Ovis aries: one gene and its partner. The protein of the gene in region 1 interacts with the protein of each later gene in a pairwise test. Links are inferred from orthologs where the notes say so. Each region holds a gene or a part of one and is shown on either strand. Other genes may lie near its edges. The genes, in order: TFAP2A and glutathione S-transferase omega-2.

Evidence for each region.
Region 2: the proteins of TFAP2A (region 1) and glutathione S-transferase omega-2 interact in binary tests that used the Homo sapiens proteins (3 or more experiments, as listed by UniProt). The two-hybrid records come from large-scale screens. The link is inferred for Ovis aries from reciprocal best matches to the Homo sapiens genes TFAP2A and GSTO2.

What each region holds. Positions count from the first base shown.
Region 1 is NC_056073.1:44,835,519-44,847,880, forward strand, and holds part of TFAP2A (transcription factor AP-2-alpha), read left to right. Parts: coding exon 1-213; intron 214-3,325; coding exon 3,326-3,377; intron 3,378-5,406; coding exon 5,407-5,638; intron 5,639-7,543; coding exon 7,544-7,662; intron 7,663-9,589; coding exon 9,590-9,731; intron 9,732-11,629; coding exon 11,630-11,918; 3' UTR 11,919-12,362.
Region 2 is NC_056075.1:24,532,548-24,544,909, forward strand, and holds part of glutathione S-transferase omega-2, read left to right. Parts: intron 1-3,004; 5' UTR 3,005-3,192; coding exon 3,193-3,226; intron 3,227-3,504; coding exon 3,505-3,613; intron 3,614-5,417; coding exon 5,418-5,640; intron 5,641-6,569; coding exon 6,570-6,671; intron 6,672-12,362. UniProt on the Homo sapiens protein: Exhibits glutathione-dependent thiol transferase activity. Has high dehydroascorbate reductase activity and may contribute to the recycling of ascorbic acid. Participates in the biotransformation of inorganic arsenic and reduces monomethylarsonic acid (MMA).

The DNA of each region.
Region 1 (12,362 bases):
CAGCCGCAGCACCCGGGCTGGCCCGGTCAGAGGCAGAGCCAGGAGTCTGGGCTCCTGCACACGCACCGGGGGCTGCCCCACCAGCTGTCGGGCCTGGATCCTCGCAGGGACTACCGGCGGCACGAGGACCTCCTGCACGGCCCCCACGGGCTTGGCTCCGGACTCGGAGACCTCCCGATCCACTCCTTACCTCACGCCATCGAGGACGTGCCGGTAAGAGGCCGCGCGCGCGCGCGGGCGGCGGGAGAGCAAACGCTGTCCCGGCTCACCCACGCCCGGGAAAGGGTCCCCCCCTGGAACGTCCAGCCCCGGGGACTGGGCTTTCCTCCTCCCCTCTGGTTACTTTCTTCACATCTCCTTTTGTTTTATCGGGTGGACCCTTTGAGCACCACCTAGCCAACCGCATGCCAAAGATTCAAAAGTAGTTGAGAGTTCGGCCGGGAGAACAATGGTTCGCAGAGCTCCTTCAAACAATGCCTGCGTTACCATTTATAAATCAGACTGGTGTCACCGTGGACGCTACCTTCCCCTCTCGGCGACAGTAAACTGTTTCGATTATGAGAGGATCTGATTCCACCGCTATGTCTGACGTGGGGGTTTCTCCCAGTCCTGAAAGACGTGTTAGAGTGGATCCAAAGAGCTCATTTAAATGCCCTATCGATTTAAAAGAAAGTGTAAAAGACACACGAAGAAAATTATTTTGGCCGGATTTTATGAGTGCTAGGGGGTCTTTGAAAGTTACGTGTATACCCTACCCTGATTAAAGAATACTAAGTGGCAAATCCGAACAGGAGGACATTAAATGCAGCCTTTTTTCTCTTCCTAGGGGTGCTAAGTGCTGACCTCATAAATCATTAGCTGGGTTCCCAACGCCCATCAAGACCTGCTACACCCCCATATTACTTTAATGTTTTGAGACAATTGGGCAATGCAGTCTTTGAGTTCTAATTCAGTTATCAATAAATGCAGTTTTCTATGATTTCTAAATAAGCATGGTATTAGCACATTTACTCTTTGGCAATGCAAACCAGGCTATTGATAATTTGAAAATACTTTCTGAAATTAAATTTAAACCAGCATCTCTGCTTCAATTCTACATATTTATGGTTTCCTCACAACCTTCCTGAAATGGAATTAGAACAAGCCAATAATTTTATTAAAGCTGTAAAGGCTCTGTTAATGCTGCTTTTCTTTGGAGAGGAAATGTATCTGGATGTGATTTTTGCTAAAATGCTATTTCAAATTACTGCATCAAATATTGCAGCAATATGTCCGTTGACAGTTTAATGATTACTGCATTAGATTGCAAAGAAAATGGTCAGATGAACTTACCTGCTTGCTTGGTGAATTTAAAACATTATTTAAGTTACATAGGGAAATAGAAAATTTATTACATCTCTCATTTGGCCTAGTTAATCACTGAAATTTGTTGGTTATGTTTAGCAGCCTAGCATGGAAAGCAGGAAAGTAGGCATTTGATCTAGTGTGGGGTTTAGTAAGTCTTGTGTGCATGCATATGTGTGTATTTTCATACATGGTTTTAGAAACACATTACACAGTGCGTTTCTTGGAAAGTAAAATGAGAGGTGGAATAGTTGGGAGAAGGGCCATTAAAAAACAAACTTGGAAGTTGTGACCATTTGATCTTCCCCTTCCCGAAGAGTCTCTGAGTCCTGATCCTAGTCTGCTCCTTGGAAATATTTGAATTGCAAAATAACGTTGCTAGCTTTTTAAATCTACTGTGAATTAGAATTGCTCTACTTTGCAAAAAATTGCAAAGTGGCTGGTGTGAATTCTTAACACCTGTATAGTCTCTCTTTGTGGTGAAATTGGCCTACAGGAGAAATTAACCAAAAGATCGAATAAAAACAAGGAAACCCAGTTGCTGCTCTTCCCCTTTCCTCCCCCAACCTTTTAAGAGAAAATTCTTTCAAAGGAATTTGGGTCAGGAAAAGGGTTGTTTTCAATTTTCCCATTGCTGCAACAGTTAACCTTTAATGAGAACGAACGCCAAATATTTAAGAAAATCAAATCGATGGTGAAAATTATTTAATCATTAATATCTCAGTGGGGTTTTAAACTTAACAGTCTTCCCTGTATGGACAAGGTCTAGAAATAACACAAATAAAAGTATTATGCCACACTACATTTACTTTATGGGTTTAGGGTGCATGCATAAAGGGATCATATTTCCCCATATAGTTAAAACACAAGAACTGCAGCAGTAGTCATTTCTGAACATTTCTCAATTTAATTATACTTAAATCCAGAAGCACTTTAGGCAAGTTACAAATGAGAGCATTGAGTATAATAAAACCTGTAATAAAGCAACTTAGTACCATCCACCCGGAATCATTGCGATCAGGCACAATTAACAGGAGCATAAATCCAAGACAGAATGGAAAATGTTCGAATCAGTATTATTGTTGGACAAAGACTAGAGAAGGAAGTAATAGTTTTTTTAAATGGTAATGTCTGCGTTTGGTAACGATTGCGAAATCTTCTATCTCAGCAGCCCTGGTGCTAATTTGTAAACACAGCCAGACATTATATTGCCTGTCAGTTTCTGCATTAGAAAACATGATTTCATTTTACTTTCTAATCACGTTTTGACTGTAGCACACGTATACCCACCCATCTGTAAAAAAAAAAAAAAAAAAAAAAGGGAAGAAAGAAGGCCACACTAACAAATCTGCTGTTGGACACAGCAGGGAAACCTCAAAGGCTGCCCCCTCCCTTCTTTTTATCGTTTTCATATCCAATTTGATATTTGATATTCAATTTAGACAGTAGTCCTTAAATTTTTTGTTTGTTTCTCTGTAAGTGAAGGTGCACAAACACGTTAGCTCTTTATCACATCACCTAAAACGTTTTCGGGACTCCCAGGCCACTCCCGCCTCTGTCATTTCTATTGTGTTTCTCTGGTTTTTGCTACCTGAACAGTGGAATCGCTGAAGTCCGAAGCCGCTGAGGCGCCAAACTAAAGCTAGGTGTATTTTGAAAGGTTGAGCAGGCTGTGAGAAAGATTAGGTGTTCCCAAACTCGATTTAATTTCCAAAGAAAGTTTTGTTCCCCACTCCCACCTCCTTCAAATGTGGATTATTTGCTGGGGGTAGAGAAATTGGCTGTGGGTGTACAGTGAAACCTCTTGAGCTGCAAAGCTCCAAATTCCAATAAGCCAAGATGAGATGTTTATATATAAATGTCACCAGATGGGAGGGGGGATTTCGATTCTACGCCTTCCCCTCCCCCTATCTTGCGCGAAATATTCATTTCCTTTTGTTTTGATTATACACTTACATCCATGTGTATCCTTTTGTTGCAGCATGTAGAAGACCCGGGTATTAACATCCCAGATCAAACTGTAATTAAGAAAGGTAAGCCATTTCCTTCTGCATTCCAAGCATGTCCTTACAGGCACAGTGTTATTTAAAAGAACTTGCAGAGGTGTATTTATTTTTTTCAAGTAGGATTTCCTAAAGGCTCAGAATTATCGAATAGATAGGCATAGAACAGCAATGCTCAAATGATTTAGTAATGGCAACAGGCTAGCTTTGTTCTGATTTATGACTTGACCATTTAATTTAGTTTAATGATATCTGGACAAACACATGAAATGTGTAACAGTTGAGCAGATTTGGAAGTGGCATTTCAATTTTGAAACAGCTTTAACAGTTTAGTTAATCCACTGCCTGAGTGGCCATGAGTGTTATAGGAAGCGCATCATGCTAACAACGATGCAAGTAATTCAGTATTAATATGGGGGCAGATGATAAAGACAGCACTCCTTAGCAGAGGGGGAAAAAACCTTTCAAGTTCTTATACTGAATTTCTCATTAGGTGTTGAAGGGTTTTTTAAACTTTGTGAATTAGGTTAGCAAAAATTTGGCGTTTGGTTAAAATGAGCCTCTTGAAGATGTCAGGTTTATTAGCATAACTGTTCTGAGCAGAAATTGTTTTTTAAAAGTGTCAAGTGATTTGGATAGATTTGTAATTTATGTTGTGTTTAGTGAGTAAAATAAAGTTTACTGGATTAAATGCTATTCACAGCAGCTTCCCCCCCCCCCACTTGGTTATAGTGGCAACGTTACATTTCAGGATTCAAGGCACCACCAGAGAATGATGCTATATAAAACTGTTCTCATTTCTAACCCCAATCAGTATATTGTTAGCGAGTTTAAAGTTTCATTTTTGCATCTGTGAAGTCTTTGTCACGTCAAATTAGATGTGCAAGGGATAAATCTTAAGAGATGCTCTTTCCAAGTCGACATGATAATTGGCTCTTTTATTAGTAATCTCTCAAGAGTTCGTTTAACTCCTATTGTCTCTATTAGCCTCCCCAGAGCTATTAATGTCACAAGTGATCTATCCAAAACCTAGAGACCCCCCCCTATACGTCTAAAATATCCCTATTAAAGAGAGTACTGAGATAAGCATATATTATGTAGTATGTCTCCATGTGGAATTTTAATACAAATGCATACTGTATTTAAATGGTTGTGAATGCATTTGAATTATATTGGTGTTAGAAATGTAACGTGTTGGTCCACTTCCTGCTGGCCTTGAATTTTTTTTTCCCCCAAGTATGGGGGAATCCAACAATGAAGAGCTTGTGATTTAAACTAGTAAGAATATATCCTCCCCCCAAGAAGGCGCTTAAGCGTAGGGACTGTTAACTCTTTGCTCGTCAAAGAACACATTGCTAGTATTCCATGGTAGGCCTGTTTATCCGTTTTTTTTTTTTTTCAATTCAAAACTGGGCTTGGCATGGACTTCCAAAACCCCTTTTCACAGATAAACGTAAAGGGGAGGGGGGTAAGGAAAGGACTATTTATCAAAAGGTTGGGGCGTGTGCGCTGTGTGACACCTTGAATCCACCACTTTTCGGCTTGGGTGCCATGACTGAGATGCTCATTTTTACAGGCAGCTTTAGCCGTGGAGACTCGGCTGATTTTAATTATGGGTCTTTGAACAGTTTCTCCCCAACACTGAAGAAGCCCTCGCCTCCCCCGCACCCCACCCTGAATGCACACGGGGCTTTTTTTCTCGGCTCTGGGCCCAGTGTCCTCCGATGCGGAGAGGCGAGAGGGTCACCGCCTCACCAGCACCTCTAAACAGCACCCCAGCGGTTAAAGGGCGAAGGGTCCCGGCGGAAGGACGAGCCGGGCTGGCGGGGCGGGGTCACCGGGGGCGGGAGGGGGACGCGCCAAGGGGCTCAGGCTTCCACTCCCGACAGGGATGGAGCCGGAGGGACTAGGGGAGGTGGGGAAGGAGCCATGGGATTTTCGGGGCTGGAGGAGAAGCGGGTGAAGGGGGGTTGGTGGCGGCGCAGGCCTGGGGCAAGGGGCCCGGGGCTCTACAGGGCTCCCCGGCGCCCACACGCGGCCTCCCCATGTGTCTCCGCAGGCCCCGTGTCCCTGTCCAAGTCCAACAGCAACGCCGTCTCCTCCATCCCCATCAACAAGGACAACCTCTTCGGCGGCGTCGTGAACCCCAACGAAGTCTTCTGTTCAGTTCCGGGTCGCCTCTCGCTCCTCAGCTCCACCTCGAAGTACAAGGTCACGGTGGCGGAAGTACAGCGGCGCCTCTCACCGCCCGAGTGTCTCAACGCTTCGCTGCTGGGCGGAGTGCTGAGGAGGTGAGGCCCGGCATGGCCCCGCCCATCCCCGCCCCGCAGCCGTGAAGAGCGGGGGGGCGGGGGGAAAGCACTGCGCCTGCGCCGGGGCTGTGACGCCAACAGGCTTCGCGCCAGGGCCCGCCCTCCGCGGGAAAAGAAAGGGGCGGGGAGAAAGAGCGTAGAACCGAGTGGGTGGGAGCTGGGGGTGGGGTGGGCGGGGCGAGGCGACGCGCGCCTGCGCACTCCGCCGCTTTCCCGCCCGCGCGCGCGCGCTCCGTCGTTCCAGGGGCGCGCGGCCGGCGTGGCGCGCTCACCCGGCGCTCGGCCGCCCCCCGCCCCTCCCCGCGCGCACGCGCAGCTCGCTCCGCGGCGGACTCAGTCCCGGCCGCGGCAGCCGCGGGGCGCCGTGCATCCGCCTGTTCCCTCCTCGCGCCCGTGTCGCAGGCCTAGAAAAACTTCATCTCGGGCTGCTCACTTTGCCTTGCCTGCATGCAAGGTCTCTGATCGCAGAGGGCTTGCGGCCCTTGAATAGGGTTTTAAGCAGAAGACGATGGTTTTAGAGTCAGCGCGCCACGCCCCCGCGTCCCCGTCTCCCCAGGCTTCACGGGCCCGAGGGACTTGCACTAATAATTCGGATGCGCCGCGTCCGCACGTGCCAGCCTGCGTGCACGGCACGGTTACGTGCGTTTTGTGCGGTCGCTACCTACGACTGCATGTTGCTTACGTGGTCAGGAATTCTCATCTCAACGCGCGCGAGGTTGGAATGATTCGTTTCCTAGATAAGGTTTTATGAGGGTCAGCGAGGTGAAGCACCTTCCCTGAGGGCAGTTTGTCCCTCCTGTGGGCTTTTTACTTCTTGGGGTCCCAGCCAGGGTTGTGTGTGGTGGGTCTTGCGTTGAACGGTCCCAGATATTTCCTACTTCTTTCTAGTTTTTAATAAGAAAGTGGGCCCCACACTTCATTCTTTGACGTGTACACATATAGCTGTATATAGACCCGGAGTTCTGCTGTGATGGGTATATCCTATACAAAGGCTTACAGAACCGTTTTTGGACAGATTTTAGCATCAGCTGTTCTACTCTTTTCTTCCTCCTTCACAGTCATTTGCTGTTCCTTTGTAATCTTTCACTGACACATCTAAATCTGCCGCTGCCTCTTCCTACCCCTTCCCCCATCCCCAGTATTGGAGACTGTTTACCTAGGGGAGTATAATCTAATCCACACAATTAAAGAGCACTTGAGTAGGGAATAAAATCTGAAATTAATTAATTTGCTGTTTTATTTAAACAATTTATCTTAACCACTTTCTGATTATGGGAGTCTATTTAGACATCTATTTAGAACCACCTCCACTGTCTCTGAATTCAGTGACATTTGTAAAGGCTGATATCAACTTTTGACATTTCCAGTTAGGCTGGTGACATGGCATGTAAACAGTTGGTGAAATGAATTTCCCACTGGGGCTGAAGCCGAGCAAGAAACCTGAGAGTGATGATAACTTTGGTTACTCTGAACAGGCTCACAGCAGATCTAGCAAAGACAATTTAAAGACCCCATTGGGATTTGTGTGATTGTAACAACAGGGAAAATATACAGTAATCAGTTGAACTCAAAAATACTTCACACCCTGGAGATGAGAACTGTGTTTATCTGTTTGTGGTTCTTCTTTAGAGAGTTGGGAAATCAAAACCTTCTAACCTGCCACCATAGTTGCAGTAATAAATGAACACAGAGGGTGCTTTACAGTCTAGCAAGTATGCATCTCCTATGATCTTTCCTTCCCAGGTTTCCTTTCCTTATATATCTAGGGGCCAGGATTCTTAATTTTTAAAAGCGAATTTTAGGAAGTTGTCAAAATGAGTACAGTGGGATGCAGAGCAACTGAATGTTTTCTAAATCCATTTCTCACATATATTTGTGAAACAGGGCGAAGTCTAAAAATGGAGGAAGATCTTTAAGAGAAAAACTGGACAAAATAGGATTAAATCTGCCAGCAGGGAGGCGTAAAGCTGCCAATGTCACCCTGCTCACATCACTAGTAGAGGGTAAGCGAGTTCCCTTGCTAACAAGAAGGGAAGTTTCTCCTGGGAAAGTGGATGCTATTCAATGGCCAGATGTTTGGTTATATTTTGTGTCAATTGTGCAGTTTCATTTTTTTCCAGAGAACGTAGCTGGAAGTGAACAGAATTCTTGCATGTGAAAAAACTATTTGCATTTAGTCCTGTCCTCCTTTCCTCTTCCCCTCTGCTACCAAATTACACCCCCTGCCCCAGCCCAGTTTTGACCTAAACAATGTGAAAATTTAAGAACTGCATACTCTTCAAGTTCCTGTCTCCTTTATGGAGCTCAGCAGTAAATCACTTAAGCTACTCTGACATCTGCGTTTGAGAAATGCGTGACCATTACTTCCTGAATTAATTTGGGAATCTTTGACCTGCATCCTGATTTAAGACCATCCTGAAAGCTCAGGGTTATATGCCCTTTCAGGTTTTTGTTTTCCAAACATATGCTCCCTTATCTCTCATTTAATTGTGCTTCTCTACTGGAGAGGAAGAAAAATGAACAGTTTTAGACTTTGAGTTATTTGGATAGGAAAAGAAAAAAGAAATAAGCATTGCAAAAAGTTTCTCATGACAGTTTTTTTAAGCGTGCCCTCGAGCACACACACACACACACACACACACACACACACACACACACACACACACAGAGGCTTCTAAACCCCTCAAAACAAAAGCTCACCCTGTCCTCACTCCCTTTCGATATATGCCACAGTCCAGTTATGGTAGTCACATTTGTACCTCCTCCAGATCCTTGTTAAGTTTGTCTGATACTAAATTGGCTAAAGTTTGGGTGTGTTGGAATGAATGTATAATTCTCTCGCATTTTCCTTTGTGTTCTGTTGGAAATGTCTCATGCCAATAGGAAAAAAAGGAACTTAAGTTATGGTGCAGATTTCAAAACCACCATTTATATTTAAAGATGGCACTTTATCTTACTTATATCTTGTATTTGAGAAGATATTGTATAACAGTTCAGGTTCTCACATTGTAAATAATTTTTAAAATATTTAAAAACACAAATTTGAGGAGAAATCCTGTGAACCACTTGTTAATGGTGTCAAAAATGATAACTCATGTAACTGTTAAGGAATAAGCAATCGTTCAGTTGCAGAAACTTATCTACAGTAGCACTGTATTAAAAATAATACCGGTGCCCTGGGAACCCACCATTCAGACCCAAAAGCAAAAAATAGTAGTAATGATTTTGGGTGTAGTGTGCATGGGTCTGGGGGTTGAGTCCCATAGCAGGGAGGCAGTTTCTGGAGAACTGTTATTGTTTGTGATCCGCTCCATTTTATGGAAACAAGCTCCGCGGAGAGGGCTTTGATGCTCTAATTGGCGCATGCGTTCTTCCGGAGCTGGAGCTAATGGCAGGAAGCCCTGCAGTAAAAACCAACTGGTTCAGGAAATTAAAACCAAAGATTTGAAAATCAACAACACAGACAGACTCAGTGGAGTGACCCTCAAATCCTCTTGGTTAATCGGTTTGGATGAACAGATAATTATATGCGATAAAGTTAAAATGTAAACCCTGAGTCGTTCCCTTGCAGAAAAGCTCAAGAAGTAATTATGAATATCATTTTATGAACACGTTAATAGGTGTGAGGCTGGGACACAAGAAATGTTTTAAAAGAGATTGTGGGAGAATGTCATCAGGGTGGGGGATGAGGCTGTGTGGGGAGGTGATGGAATCTACATTTTCAAATCATCTTGGCCTTCTAGGGTAAGTGGCCATTTTCCCTGAGAAATGCATCTGCTAGAACCCTACAGAGAAGGAAAGAAAATGCCTGAAGTGGGGAAACAAGTCGTTTGTGTTTCCTGCGACAGCTGGGTTAAGAAAATAAGGGAGCTGGAAGTCTTGATCCCAGCTTTTTTCATTCTTTTGCCCTCTCCTTCCTCCTTTTGCCAGGAGAAGCTGTCCACCTAGCCAGGGACTTTGGGTACGTGTGCGAAACCGAATTTCCTGCCAAAGCAGTAGCTGAATTTCTCAACCGACAACATTCCGATCCCAATGAGCAAGTGACAAGAAAAAACATGCTCCTGGCTACAAAGTAAGACATTTACCTCTTCGGGGTCTCTGTGTCTCACTGTCAAAGAGAAACATCAAAATCGTCTTTGCTCTCACTTTTGGCCTCTTTTCCTTTTGTGTTAATCAGTTTTGTTGTTGTAAACGCTGAAATTACAACACAATCTTATAAACCATGATGGGGCTTAAAGAGGAAATACAAGGAAGATTATGAGTGTGTATTTCCCTCTTTCCCCTCCCTTCTGCCCTACCTTCTCATTAAAAAAAAAAAAAAAAAAGAGCATGTATGGGAATGGGGTATAGTGGGGATGTGAGGGAAGCTGAGTGTGGCTTTGTGACTGTTATTTTAGGAAAACCAGAACCAAGTTCTTAAAGGAGTGGACAGACTTGCCTGTGTCAGTTTTTGTCTCTTATCAATAGGTTCTCCAAGGGCAAGGATTAAGCTAGTGGCTTGCAAAATGTTCGGGTCAGAAGCTGGCCTAGTTTCTACCCTAATCCCTTCTCCCATTTCTTGCCTTGCTTTCTCGACCTCCTCAAAAGTGCTGCATACTCACAGCCCACAAGTTCTAGCCTACAGGCGAGATGTCAAATCAGTTTCAAAATGGCCCAAGTTTATATTCCCATTGGTGCCTGGGCTGAATAGGCTTCTCCAGGTGGTGTGTGAAAAGAAAATGACTGTTTTGATATGTTTTCTGGAAATTAAAAGGCTTGTTTGGAAGCCGGTAATTATCAAAGATGATGTCCCAGGAGGGCTTGGATCCAGAGGGCAGAGGCTGAGGCCTCTGGCTGGGCACTTTCTAGCCTGGGGAGACATCAACTGGCCTTGGGGGAGGCAGCCGGCCAGTACTCCCCATTCTGCCTCCCTCGTGTGGAGCCCCCTATCCAAAGCCCCCACCCAAGTCTGCTGCTGCCTCGGGAAGGCCCCAGCCAGTCCTAGCTTCCCAGATTCAGAGACTGAGCTACCCCTGTAGGCCTCATCGCCTGTATTTCAACTTTTCCCTCTTCTCTTAGCTTCCTAAGCACACCCACACTCACAGTTTTACCTAGACATTTTTTTTGGTGGCGGTGCGTGGGGGGCGGTGGGGCGGTGGGGGTGGGGGTGGGGATGCATGGGAAAGGAGGTGGCAGGGGAAATTGAAATGTCTATTTCTGCTTCCCCAAACCACTGAATTATCCCCACACTTGGGTATTCAAGTGCCTTTTATTTTTTAAGAGTAAAGCAATCCCAAGAAAAGTTTTGCCTTCCTTGTCCACACCCACCCTGATGTGAAGGTGAATGAGTGGAGAATTCATGCCCCCAGACCTCAGACTGCTGAGGTCACGCTGGAAGGTCAGGGAAGAGGGTCTCTACAGTATTTTGAGCAGGACAGCTGATGGGTGCAGGCTATTGGCTGCGGAAGAGATGCTTGTGTTTCTGACTCCCTGCCTTTCCTACTCACCTTCCTTTCTCTCCGGATGGGTGAAGTGTCTTCCTATGTCAGGGATGCCTGGTGTGAGTGAGAAATGGGGGTTAGAAATTTGGTTCAGGACTTCCCTGGCAGTCCAGTGGTTAAGACTCTGTGCTTCCACTGCAGGGGGCACCGGGTTCGATTCCTGGTGTGGGAACTAAGAGTCCACATGCCACAGGGCACAGCAAAGGAAAAAAAAAGTTTGGTGCAGCTGAGAGGTGAGAGACACACAGGTGGAAAGAGAGAGGGGGGCGTTAGTGGAAGTGTGTAAGGAGCAGGAGATGTGTGGATGGCTCCTGAGAGGTGGCTGGGTCTCCCCAGCTGTGCCCTGCACCCCTGGTCTGTCTCTGGGGCCCTGAGTCAGGTCAGCTGTCCTGCAGACAGAGCTGGTTGCAGAGAGGAAGGTCTTGTCTCGCTGCTGGTTGTGCTCCCACGGAGCCTCACCCCCTGTCTCTCTGCCCTGCTTGCGCTGCAGACAGATCTGCAAAGAGTTCACCGACCTGCTGGCCCAGGACCGATCGCCCCTGGGGAACTCGCGGCCCAACCCCATCCTGGAGCCGGGCATCCAGAGCTGTTTGACCCACTTCAACCTCATCTCCCACGGCTTCGGCAGCCCGGCAGTGTGCGCCGCGGTTACGGCCCTGCAGAACTATCTCACCGAGGCCCTCAAGGCCATGGACAAAATGTACCTCAGCAACAACCCCAACAGCCACACGGACAACAGCGCCAAAAGCAGTGACAAAGAGGAGAAACACAGAAAGTGAGGCTCTCCTCCCGCCCCGCCCGCCCCGCCGCGCGCGCCCGCCCACCTCCGCCTGCACCTCCATCCCCCCACCGCCCGCCGCCGGCAGGTGACAGCGCCGGGGACCAGCGACCCTCCACTGCTGCTACTGCCGCTGCTGCCGCCGCCGCCGCCGTCGCCTTCGGTCCGGAGGCCCCGGGGCCCGGGGCCCACGCTCCACGGCGAGAGGGGCGACCCCTCAGGCCCCGGCCCCGACCGCCCCCATGAGCATCACCTCCCCTTTGCCCCCGCCCCCGCCCCCGCGTGGAGCCTAAGAGAACCGAACAGGCCGTGAAGCCAGCAAAGAAAAGTTCTGTCCGATTTGTGAACCTTTTTTTTTTAATCCAACAAATCAACCACAAAGACAACAAAGAAATTAAAAACTTTTTTTTTTTTTTTAGAAAAAAAGAACGTAAAAATTAAAAAA
Region 2 (12,362 bases), on another chromosome or scaffold:
TACAGTACTACATGGTCTGCAGTTGGTTGAATCTGCAGGTGTAGAAGCACAGATGTGAAGGGCTGACAGTGGTGGACCTGCTGCTGCCGCTAAGTCGCTTCAGTCGTGTCCGACTCTGTGCGACCCCATAGATGGCAGCCCACCAGGCTCCCCCGTCCCTGGGATTCTCCAGGCAAGAACACTGGAGTGGGTTGCCATTTCCTTCTCCAATGCATGAAAGTGAAAAGTGAAAGAGAAGTTGCTCAGTCGTGTCCGGCTCTTAGCGACCCCATGGACTGCAGCCTACCAGGCTGCTCCACCCATGGGATTTTCCAGGCAAGAGTACTGGAGTGGGGTGCCATTACCTTCTCCGGTGCCCTGAAATCTCTAGTTGTTCAAGGGTCAGCTGTATTTTTAATAATATTTACCAGCTCTCAGAGTCAGTTTTATTGAAAAGGTGGGAATAAGGAGACACAACATGAAAATATATTCTCTTCTAGTGTAGTAGAAAGATGGACCCAGGAATCTTTTACTTTTCAAATGGAATCCTCAGTTTGGTTGCTAATCCAGTCATCATCAGTGTATACCAGGGATGGGCAAACTAAAGCCAGTGGGTCAAGTCAAGCCACTGCTCATTTCTTTGCAGTTCAAGGGCTAAAAATAGTTAGGGGAAAACATTTCAGTGAAGAAGTATAATTTGTAACATGTGAAAACTATATGGAATTCACCAAGAGTGAGTCCTAATGCAAACTAGACTTTGGGTGATAATGATGTTTCAATATAGATCCATTGATTGTAAGAAGTGTACCACCCTGATGCAGGATGTTGATGGGGAGGCTATGCATGTGTGGGGATAGGTTGGTTGGAAACTTCTCTATATTCTGCTAAATTTTTCTGTGAACCTGCTCTAAAAAGTAGTTTGTTAAAATATACCTGTATATGAAATTCAAATTTACTATTCATAAATAGTGGTTTATTGGAACATAGCCAAGCCCATTTATTTATATATTATCTATGGCTATTTTCACCTTACGAGGGTAGAGTTAAGTAGCTGAGACAAGATGGCTTGAGAAGCCTAAAATGTTTACTCTCTTGACCTTAACAGAAAAAGTTTGCCCATCTCTGGTATAGAATAAGATTCCAGATGGAGTGACTTGCCCTGGAAATCAAACTTTCAGGCTTCATAAACCTCCTTCCACCTCTTACTAGTTATCAGGCTTTTGACAAGTGACTTAACCTTGCTAGCCTCAGTTTATTTGTCTTTTAAAATGAGGTAAGAAGAGACTCCTTGTAGGATTATTTTAAGGATTTAGTGAATTAATACACATAAAGCATTAAATACATGTTAGTATAATTTACTTTGAGTTTAGAGAGTTTCACATTCCTCATATGGCCTTTCCCTTTAGAATCTGTTTATGTGAAAGTCAACTATTTGAAATACTATACTTCCTTTATGTGAGTGTCACATTTACCTGATCAGGAGTCATTTCCTTGTCTACCAGAAGCTCTCACATGACATGAGTATGTTGACTGTTTCCTTTTTACGCACCGGTCAGTTCATTTCAGTTCAGTCGCTCAGTTGTGTCCGACTCTTTGTGATCCCATGGACTGCAGCATGCCAGGCCTCCCTGTCCATCACCAACTCCCAGAGTTTACTCAAACTTATGTCCATTAAGTCGGTGATGCCATCCAACCATCTCATCCTCTGTCGTCCCCTTCTCCTCCTGCCCTCAATCTTTCCCAGCATCAGGGTCTTTTCAAATGAGTCAGCTCTTCGCATCAGGTGGCCAAAGTATTGGAGTCGCAGTTTAGCATCAGTCGTTCCAATGAATATTCAGGACTGATTTCCTTTAGGATTGACTATTTTGATCTCTTTGCAGTCCAAGGGGCTCTCAAGAGTCTTCTCTAACACCACAGTTCAAAAGCATCAGTTCTTCGGTACTCGGCTCTCTTTATAGTCCAACTCTCACATGCATACATGACTACTGGAAAATCCATATCCTTGACTAGACGGACCTTTGTTGACAAAGTAATGTCTCTGCTTTTTAATATGCTGTCTAGGTTGGTCATAACTTTCCTTCCAAGGAGTAAGCGTCTTTTAATTTCATGGCTGCATCACCATCTGCAGTGATTTAGGGTCAGAGCAAAGGCTAGTTACCCCCTTTATCTCACGTAGATGGAAGAGCTATCCAAGTGACCTCTGTATTGCTGGGCTGTTGGCAGTATGTCCTTGGTAATTAAAAAGGGTCTGCTTTGAAATGTATACTGGGAGTTGAAGAGAGCGCACAGATTTGTCTCTGCCTCTAGATATCTGGTTTCCTATTCATTACTAGTTTTTCATAACGAGTAAAATCTCATAAATAAGGCTGGAACTAGAGTAGTGAGGACATAGAATTAAAGGAGACACTTTAGGGTCGTGCAAGATCTTAACACTAAGTTTTTCTTCTTATCTGCTAGATGATGAAAAAGTTTGGCCTTATTTTATAATTTATTTAGGCTGTACTGGGTCTTCATTGCTGCATAGATGGCAAGCTGGGGGTTACTCTTTAGTTGCTGTGCCTGGGCTTCTCATTGATGTGGCCTCTCCTTGCGAAGCACAGGCTCTAGGGCGCATGGACTCAGTAGTTGTGGTTCCCAGGCTCTAGAGCACAGGCTTAATAGTTGTGGCTCATGGGCTCAGTTGCTTCTGGGCATATAGGATCTTCCCTGATCAGAGATCCAAGTCCTGTCCCACTGAGCCACCAGGGAAATCCTTGGCCTTATTTTAAGATAAAGTACACTCATGTACAGAGTATGGCCAGGAGGGAGGGCTTAGAATGAGAAAGAAAACGTTAGTGTCACCCTGGTCAATTTGTATTAAATTCCCTTGGAATAAGTGGAATTCACATGCCTGTTCTTCACAGATTCTTGATGCAGAGAAAAGACCGCGCAGGATGTTGTGAGTTCAAAGCAAGGGGTACTTCTCAGGTTTGTTTTTCCCGCTCCTACTACACTGGCTTCTGAGTCTGGGGCTCTGTCTCTTCAGGTTGAATTATCTTAGCTGCCGTCCTGGATCACTTCCCTACGACCCCGCCACGGCCCTGTTGCTCCAAAGTTGTATTTGGGGCCAGCGGGGCGCGCCGGAACGCTGCTGTCCTTGGACCCTGCGCCGGCGGCAGCAAGCCTTACGGCAAAGAGTGCGAGCGTTGGTCGTTGCGCAGACGCCGGGAGAGCATGACTGATGACGCGACCAGGACCTTGGGGAAAGGTGAGTCCCCTTGACAGTTGTCCGTGGGCAGGGGGTGCCGGCTGGCTGGATATTGGCTCTGCAGAAGCTGTTGCTGGTCCTTGGCTCGCAGACCAGCGCGGCGGCGAGGAGGATCGCGGTTCCTCCGCCAAAAAGCCACGTGCAAAAAAAAAAAAAAAAAAAGTGTCTTCTCTGGGGCCCGGGAGGAGGACCGCGGTCCTCGTGGGGTTCTGGGAAGGCGAGTGAGCCCCTCTCCACAGAGGGCTAACCCGCCTCCCCGTCTCCCCCTCCACCCGCAGGGAGCATCCCCCCAGGGCCGGTCCCTGAAGGCATAATCCGCCTCTACAGCATGAGGTTCTGTCCCTACGCGCACAGGACGCGCCTGGTCCTCCGGGCCAAAGGCATCAGGTGAGTGGCGGGAGGCCCCATAGGCGCTGGGGAACGTTCACCATCTGGGGCGCCCTGCTTAGGTGTCACAGGCTGTCTGTCACTTTCTTCTGAGACGAAGTCAATAAACGGTTAGCAGAGGGCAGGTGGGTTCTTGAGTGGGCCATCCTGAAATGCAGAATGAGGTCTCTGCAGGAAACTGTTAGGACCAGTCGGAGCAAACTGAATGATGGCTCTGGTGAGCTGGGTTTCTTCCCTAAAGTTTGTGAAAGAGAGGACCGCGGAGGCTACCGAGGCCTTCTCTGACAGCTCTATGAAATGCAGCCCAGACCCCACCCCAGGTATACTCAGGTCAGTTCTGTTCCCCTTATTGCACTAACAACGTTTCCTTACTTACCTGTTTTTCCTCCGCACTCCCCAGCCTCACTTCCATTGCCCCTCCACACACTTTCATACACACTGTCTGTCTGTCTGTCTGTCTCTCTCTTGCACACACACAAATGTATGTTCCTGAAGGCAGGGACTTTGTCTTTCTTATTCATGGGCTAGAAGAGAACCTGGCCAATAATAGGCACTTAAAACTATTTTTTGAATGAATGAGCAAATAGTTCCAAACAAAGAAGCAGAAAGGACTGCTATCAAGACGTTTCCCACACACCTGAAAAATGGGTGCACACTGGTCATAGAAGTAATTTTGCAAGACTAGCTCCTGCAAAGGAGGTCTGGATTTTGAAGGCAGAGCAACTTTACTGGAATGGGGGAGGCTGCATGGAGCCAGCTCAAAGCTAAAGTGTTACTCCAGCCTCCAATGTGTATCATTAGGGGATGACTTCGGAGTTTTGTGCTATAGAGATGCAGAGACTATTACAGAGACTTTAAAAAAAAAAATTATGTAATTCTGCTCTGTGGATTGTCTATGGCTTTTTCCCAGGTTATTCCCTCTTGCTCAATTCTAGTTGGCCCAAAGGTTACTTTTTAAAAAAAAAATAACAATAGATTGATGTTTTACCCACAGTGATGAAGTGGCAGCTTGAGAATTGATAGAAGTCTTTCTTTAGGGCAGAGTTTCTCACCCTTGGCGATGCTGACATTTGGGGCAGACGATTCTTGGCCTTGTGTGTTTGGTGAGGAGGAGGAGCTATCCTGTGTGTTGTTGGATATCTTGCAGCGTCCCTGGCCTCTGCCCATTAGATGCCAGTAGAATCCCCCTCCCTCCAGTTGTGGTGAACAAAAAAATGTCTCCAGATATCAGATTTGTACTTTCAGACTTTAAAATGTACTAAAATCTGTGGTGCCGTGGTTAAGCTTGTGAGCTCTGAGTCAGACTGCCTGGCCTTCCATCTTGGCTCTGCTACTTCCTGGTGGGGAATATTGGGCAAGAGATGGAACCATAAGGAGCCTTATTTCTCAGACGGGATGTGTTAAATGATTTCTTTGCCTTCCCTTGTTTGCATCTCATCATGATTCCCTAGTTTATCTCATGGGAATCATGGAGAGCGAATGGGATAAGGCATAGAAAACAGCAAACACATCCTACTCTTGAAAAGAAGAGTGATGTTGTTATGTACTTTTCTTTGCACAAACCTCAATTTAAAAAACTTATTGCAAATTTTAATTTTATAGATTGATTGTTTCTGCTTTCAAGATGAGTGTCTGGGGATTTCCCTGGCAATACAGTGGTTAAGACTCTGTACTTGCACTGCATGGGCACAGGTTTGATCTCTGGTCTAGAAACTAAGATCTCACATGGGGGGGAGAAAAAAAGATGAGTGTCTGCCTAATCCTCTCATTTTTGTTCTGTCCTGTTTTCCGTTTGCTTTATAAGACATGAAGTTATCAACATTAACCTGAGAAACAAGCCTGAATGGTACTTTACAAAGCATCCTTTTGGCCAAATTCCTGTCCTGGAGAACAGCAAATGTCAACTGATCTATGAATCTGTCATCGCTTGTGAGTACCTGGATGACGCTTACCCTGGAAGGAAGCTGTACCCATATGACCCTTATGAGCGAGCTCGTCAAAAGATGTTATTGGAGCTGTTCTATAAGGTATATCCATTAAAAAATAAACAAAACACTTAACACTCTATTTTACTTTATATATCTTTCTAAACCTCCAATCCATTTTAAAAGTCAAATCATTGGTGAAATTGATTTGTTTTAATATCTGTGTGTGCCTTAGGAGGATAACTAGTGTGGAATTATAGTAAAGCTGTGACCTCTGATATTAAAGTGTTTGCCAATAGCTACTTTTCCAGTGGAACGAGCAGTCTCAAGAGTTATGACTATGGCATAGTTATGACTGTGTAACTTGAGACAAGGAATATTGAAAGAGTGGAAAACTGGTGATACTTTGAAGGAGCTATTTCCAAGGTCTCAGGTGAAAAAAATATCAGGGTGTGAAAACGGTAATGCACAGAAGGAGATTGCCCTTTATGGGGAACAAAAGTGCCAACTGCCCAGGAAATGTGAAGAAGAGAGAAAAGGGGACAGCTGTTGATATTGGGAGAGAATGTGATAGAGAAATTTTATGATAGCTTTTTTTTAAAGAAACAAAAATGACTTAATGATATTAGTGACTGATGTCTACTGAGCGCTAGTGATGTGCCAAGCACTGTTCTAACTGTTTTATAAAGGTTAACCTGTTTAATCCCCATCACTGCCCTCATCAGGTCCCACCTTTTAAGGTGGATACTATTCTTGTGTCCTTTCTTCAGATGAGAACACTGAGGCTTAAAGAAGGAAAATGTCCCACCTAAGATTGTACAGTCTGGAAATAGCTGAACAAGTAAGGCGTACCAGAGAGCCCCCTTTAAAGCCCCTTGTTTAGCTGTGACAAGTGGATTCCCGAAACCACAGAGATCGCCGTCAGGTGGCACTGTGGACAGAGGGACAGAGCTCTGGCTGCATTGTCAGGCAGAGCAGGAGCACGGAGTGCCCTCGGACTTCTCTGCTCAGAACCTGTGTCCTCCGATCAGGTCCCACATTTGACCAAGGAGTGTCTGGTGGCATTGAGATGCGGGAGAGACTGCGCTGATCTGAAGCTGGCCCTGCGTCAGGAGTTCTGCAACCTGGAAGAGGTAAAAATGGGGCCCTCTCCTGGCCAGATGTGGAGGATAAAGTGATGCAGGTCCACACCCTGGTCACCCCGATGCCCTCCACTTTCACAGGCTTATATACTTTTCCTGTCAGACTTTGATAAGTTCAACTACTGGTCCTCTGACTTGTGGATACTTGCGCTCCACTAACCTCCTCTGGCGGAGAAGGCAATGACACCCCACTCCAGTACTCTTGCCTGGAAAATCCCATGGATGGAGGAGCCTGGTAGACTGCAGTCCATGGGGTCGCTAAGAGTCGGACAGGACTGAATGACTTCACTTTCACTTTTCCCTTTCATGCATTGGAGAAGGAAATGGCAACCCACTCCAGTATTCTTGCCTGGAGAATCCCAGGGACGGGGGAGCCTGGTGGGCTGCCGTCTATGGGGTCGCACAGAGTCGGACACGACTGAAGCGACTTAGCAGCAGCAGCAGCAGCAACCTCCTCTGGAATTTTTCTTGAAAATCTGCCTAGGGGTAAGGGAGGGCATGTGATGAACTTGTTCCTTTCCCAGAATCACCACATTCCTGACCTGTCTCTGCACGGATTCTGTAGCTTCTGCTTCTGAGTCCAAGGTCAATATTGGTTAGGGATTGTATTTGGCTTCTAGTATTGATTTAAAAAATTATAAGGATTTATTCTTTCACACACATACACACAAACCTAGAGGTACAGTAGTATAGAGCCGTTTTGATGGCTTCTTTATGAAGTTACCAGGGACTGAGGTTTTTTTTTTTCCTCTTCCTGTTCTGTCATTTTTCAGTGTGAGGCTTACATCCTCAAAATAACAAAATAGTTGCTGGAACTTCAGCTATCACATCCAAGTTCCAGGTTACAGAAAGGACAACAGAAAGGAAAAAACTGGCAAAAAGCCATACTCCTTTAAAGGCTTTCCTAGAAGTTCTGTCCAATGATTACTTAAATTTCATTGACCAGAACTTAGTCATCAAGTTATAAGTATCTGCAGGGAAAGTTGGGAAATTTAATCTCTTAGCTGGGACCACTTTGCATAAAATTAGAGTTCTGTAATTAAGAAAGAAGGGGGAAAATCTTCCCTGGTAGTCCAGGGGCTAAAATTCCATCTTCCCAATACAGAGGGCTCAGGTTCTATCCCTGGTCAGGGAACTAGATCCCACATGCCACAGCTAAAAATATCTCACATGCCACAACCAAGACCTGAGCAGCCAAATAAATAAATGTTAAAAAAAAAAAAAAGGGGGGGGAAGTGTCTATGGGTGATCAAGGAGCAATCTTTGTTATCAGATCCTCCAAGTATCTAGCAGTAATAGGGCTACTTACCCTGCACCTCTCTTATAGTCTGGAAGGTGGTCCTTTGACGTCCTTTGTCTTTGTTCTAGAAACTGATAAATTCCCCTATGGGTGGGCTGTAATTCTTTGGCAGCCAGGGAACGCTATTTTTATCCCCTTAAAAGAAGGCTGATTACTAATATTCTTCTATCTGACCTTTGTGAAGTGGAAGCTGTTAAATTTATTTACAGTTACAGCTGCCTATCTCAGATTTATATAGTTTTAGCATTTATGGATTCAGCATTATGTGTAAGAAATGTCAGCCTTTGGTCCTGAGAACTCAGACTGCGGTCTTAAGTTTGAGGAGGCAAGTAGGATGAGGTAGAAAGAGTCTTGGCTCCTAGGCTTGACTTTATAGGATTCCAGAACCTTCATCAAGGTTCTGGACCTCTCTGTGCCTTGGTTTCCACATTCATAGAACGAAAGGGTATTTTAAAAGGTGTGTTCACAAGTTTTGCAGAGGGGCGGCCCAGTGAGAGGAGGTCTGCTGGTGGTTTTAGCGCCTGCTTCAGCCCGACCAGCCCCGCTTTCAACACTGTGTTTAACAAAACATCTAATAAGCTTGAATTTGAAAAGGGAGGGGGGGGACCTTGCTTTCAAAAAGAAGTTTGATAGCTCTTGCCCATAGAGAATTTTTATGGTCTTTATTTTCAAAGATTAGCTGAACTGATTTTATCAGGTCTGGTTACCTTCTTACGAGTTAAATGCTGGGCCAGGGAAAGGAGCCCTGAAACAAAATCTTTTAAATTCAAAGATAATTGAAAACATACGTTGACCTATCTCCTTCCTACTCTGCAACTGAATGAGGGATGAACTTTGAAAATTACAGATTGCTAAGTAAATGTATAATATTACAGTGGAGGCGCAGTCCCTTAGTTTGGGTTCTTCCAGGGAAGTGAACCTGTGTTTTTGTGCTGGGCATGATGCTAAAGTTGCTTTGCATACTCCTGTTATCTAATCTTGCCAATGACCCTCTCAGATGTAATAAGTAGCATCAGTGAAATTCTGGCTAGTTAAGGGCTGCTGCTGCTGCTACTGCTAAGTCGCTTCAGTCGTGTCCGACTCTAGCCAGGCTAATTAAGGATCACTGAGTATGCAGTATTGTTCCAGATTTGAGTTGTTTTTTTGTCCCATAGAAAGTTAGTAGGAATTGTAAGTACAACATAGGTAATATCAGAATCTGAAAGATGCCCGCTGAGCTTGAATTATTTGATACATTCCTCTTGATACCAGTATATTGACTCTAGGAGATTCTAGTGAAATTGAAACTTGTCAGAATAATTCTAATAGAAATGTTTTCTCTCTATTAATAGAGTTGATGTGTACAATTTTTTCTCCATGGTTTTGTACAATCAGGATTTTCTGTGAGTTGAAAATATCTTACATATCTATGGATTGTCTTGAGTGATAAGCAACTCAAGAGACCAGTGTATAATATTCCATGTTATCTGCAAGCAAACAGGTCAGTTTAAGTTGGCAACCTTATACTCTAACGTTTTCCTCTTTTTAAATAAATGCCGCTTGATTTTTATATTTTTCGTTCAAGCAAGTATCATCAAAATTGAAGGTTTATTTGTGCTTGTTATATAAGCTCATTTTTCCATGTTATTTTTATACTTCTTTGAGATACATTTTTTGTTGTTCAGTTGCTTAGTCATGTCCGACTCTTTGTGACCCCATGGGCTGTAGAAGCTGTCCTTCACTATCTCCCTGAGTTTGCTCAAACTCATGTCCATTAAGTCAGTGATGCCATCCAACCATCTCATTCTCTGTCACCCTCTTCTCTTCCTGCCTTCAATCTTTCCGAGCATCGGGGTCTTTTCCAATGAGTTGGCTCTTCGCATCAGGTGGCCAAAGTATTGGAGCTTTGGCACCATCCTTCCAATGCATGAATATTCAGGGTTGATTTCTTTTAAGATTGACTGGTTTTATTTCCTTGCTGTCCAAGGGACTTTCAAGTCTTCTCCAGCACACAGTTCTAAAGCATCAGTTCTTCAGTGCTCAGCCTTCTTTATGTTCCAACTCACATCTGTACATGACTACTGGATAAACCATAGCTTTGACTATATGGACCTTTGTCACCAAAGTGATGTCTCTGCTTTTTAATATGCTATCTAGGTTCGTCATAGCGTTTCTTCCAAGGAGCAAACATCTTTTAAGTTCATGGCTGCAATCACCGTCCACAGTGATTTCGGGCCCCAGAAAATAAAGTCTGTCACTGTTTCCATTTTTCCCCCATCTATTTGCCATGAAGTTACGGGACTGGATGCCATGATCTTAGTGTTTTGAATGCTGAATTTTAAACCAGTTTTTCTACTCTCTTTTTGCACTTTTATCAAGAGGCTCTTTAGTTCCTCTTCACTTTCTGCCATTAGGGTGCTGTTATCATCTGCATATCTGAGGTTATATCAGTTCAGTTCAGTTCAGTCACTCAGTCATGTCCGACTCTTTGCGACCCCATGAATAGCAGCACACCAGGCCTCCCTGTCCATCATCAACTCCTGGAGTTCACTCAGACTCACGTCCATCAAGTCCGTGATGCCATCCAGCCATCTCATCCTCAGTCGTCCCCTTCTCCTCCTGCCCCCGATCCCTCCCAGCATCAGAGTCTTTTCCAATGAGTCAACGCTTCGCATGAGGTGGCCAAAGTACAAAGTTTCAGCTTTAGCATCAGTCCTTCCAAAGAAATCCCAGGGTTGATCTCCTTCAGAATGGACTGGTTGGATCTCCTTGCAGTCCAAGGGACTCTCAAGAGTCTTCTCCAATACCACAGTTCAAAAGCATCAATTCTTCGGCGCTCAGCCTTCTTCACAGTCCAAGTCTCACATCCATACATGACCACTGGAAAAACCATAGCTTTGACTAGGCAGACCTTAGTCGGCAAAGTAATGTCTCTGCTTTTGAATATACTGTCTAGGTTGGTCATAACTTTTCTTCCAAGGAGTAAGGGTCTTTTAATTTCATGGCTGCAGTCACCATCTGCAGTGATTTTGGAGCCCCCAAAATAAAGTCTGACACTCTTTCCACTGTTTCCCCATCTATTTCCCATGAAGTGATGGGACCGGATGCCATGATCTTCGTTTTCTGAATGTTGAGCTTTAGGCCAACTTTTTCACTCTCCTCTTTCACTTTCATCAAGAGGCTTTTTAGCTCCTCTTCACTTTCTGCCATAAGGGTGGTGTCATCTGCATATCTGAGGTTATTGATATTTTTCCCAGCAATCTTGATTCCAGCTAGTGTTTCTTCCAGTCCAGCGTTTCTCATGATGTACTCTGCATAGAAGTTAAATAAGCAGGGTGACAATATACAGCCTTGACGTACTCCTTTTCCTATTTGGAACCAGTCTGTTGTTCCATGTCCAGTTCTAACTGTTGCTTCCTGACCTGCATACAGATTTCTCAAGAGGCAGGTTAGGTGGTCTGGTATTCCCAGCTCTCTCAGAATTTTCCACAGTTTATTGTGATATGCACACATGTAAATAAACGCCTAGAAAAATGTCTGGAGAGACTCAAATCAGACTCCTGCTGGTGCCTACTACTGGAAGGGGATTAGCCTGGGGGTGGGAAAGAAAAGTGGTTAAGAGCAAGGATAGGAAAAAAAAAATGAGCAAGGATAGGAAGGGAGAGCCTTTGCCTTCTATACTGCTTTCTATGTTTGAATTTTTGTTTAATAATGAGAATTTTTTCTCTATTAATGTGTAATTATTAAAGATGGAAAAAAATCACTTTTCATTCTGCATAATTTGCCATATGCATAAGCCAGAGTTATGTGTCCAGCACACTCATTAGGGTTATTTAGATTATTTCAGTTGCTTATCATTATTAATGATGCCTCCCAGAAACAGCAGCTCTTTTGCATAAAAAGCCCTTTCTCTGTTTTAAAATATGTCCTTAGGCCAGACTTCCAGGAACAGAATTACAGGATCAAAGAGTATGACCATTTTAGAAGCTAGAATGGAATGTTGCTAAATTGCTTCCCCCAAGACTTGTGCTGTATACCCCCTACCCTCCGAGAGTGTCGAAAATGCCCTTTGAACCAATCCCTTTTCACTGTTGAGAGATTTCATTTAAAAAGATACTTGCCTGTCTTGAGAAACGGTAGTTTCTCATAGTTGCTTTAATGTATATTTCTTTGATTGATAGTGAGGTGGTATATTTTCCCCAAAGTATTCCATTTCTTTGTGTTTTATTTGTGAAAATGGTCTACTACCCATCTGTTTGTCAAGATCTTCCTGATTTTCCTTGTTAATTTTTTTAAGAGTTCTTTATATGTAAAGGATATTGGCCTGTTTTTAAGATACATTGTTTTGTTTTAACTTTTTGTCCTTTTTGTATATATAGAAATTTAACATTAAAAACATTGTG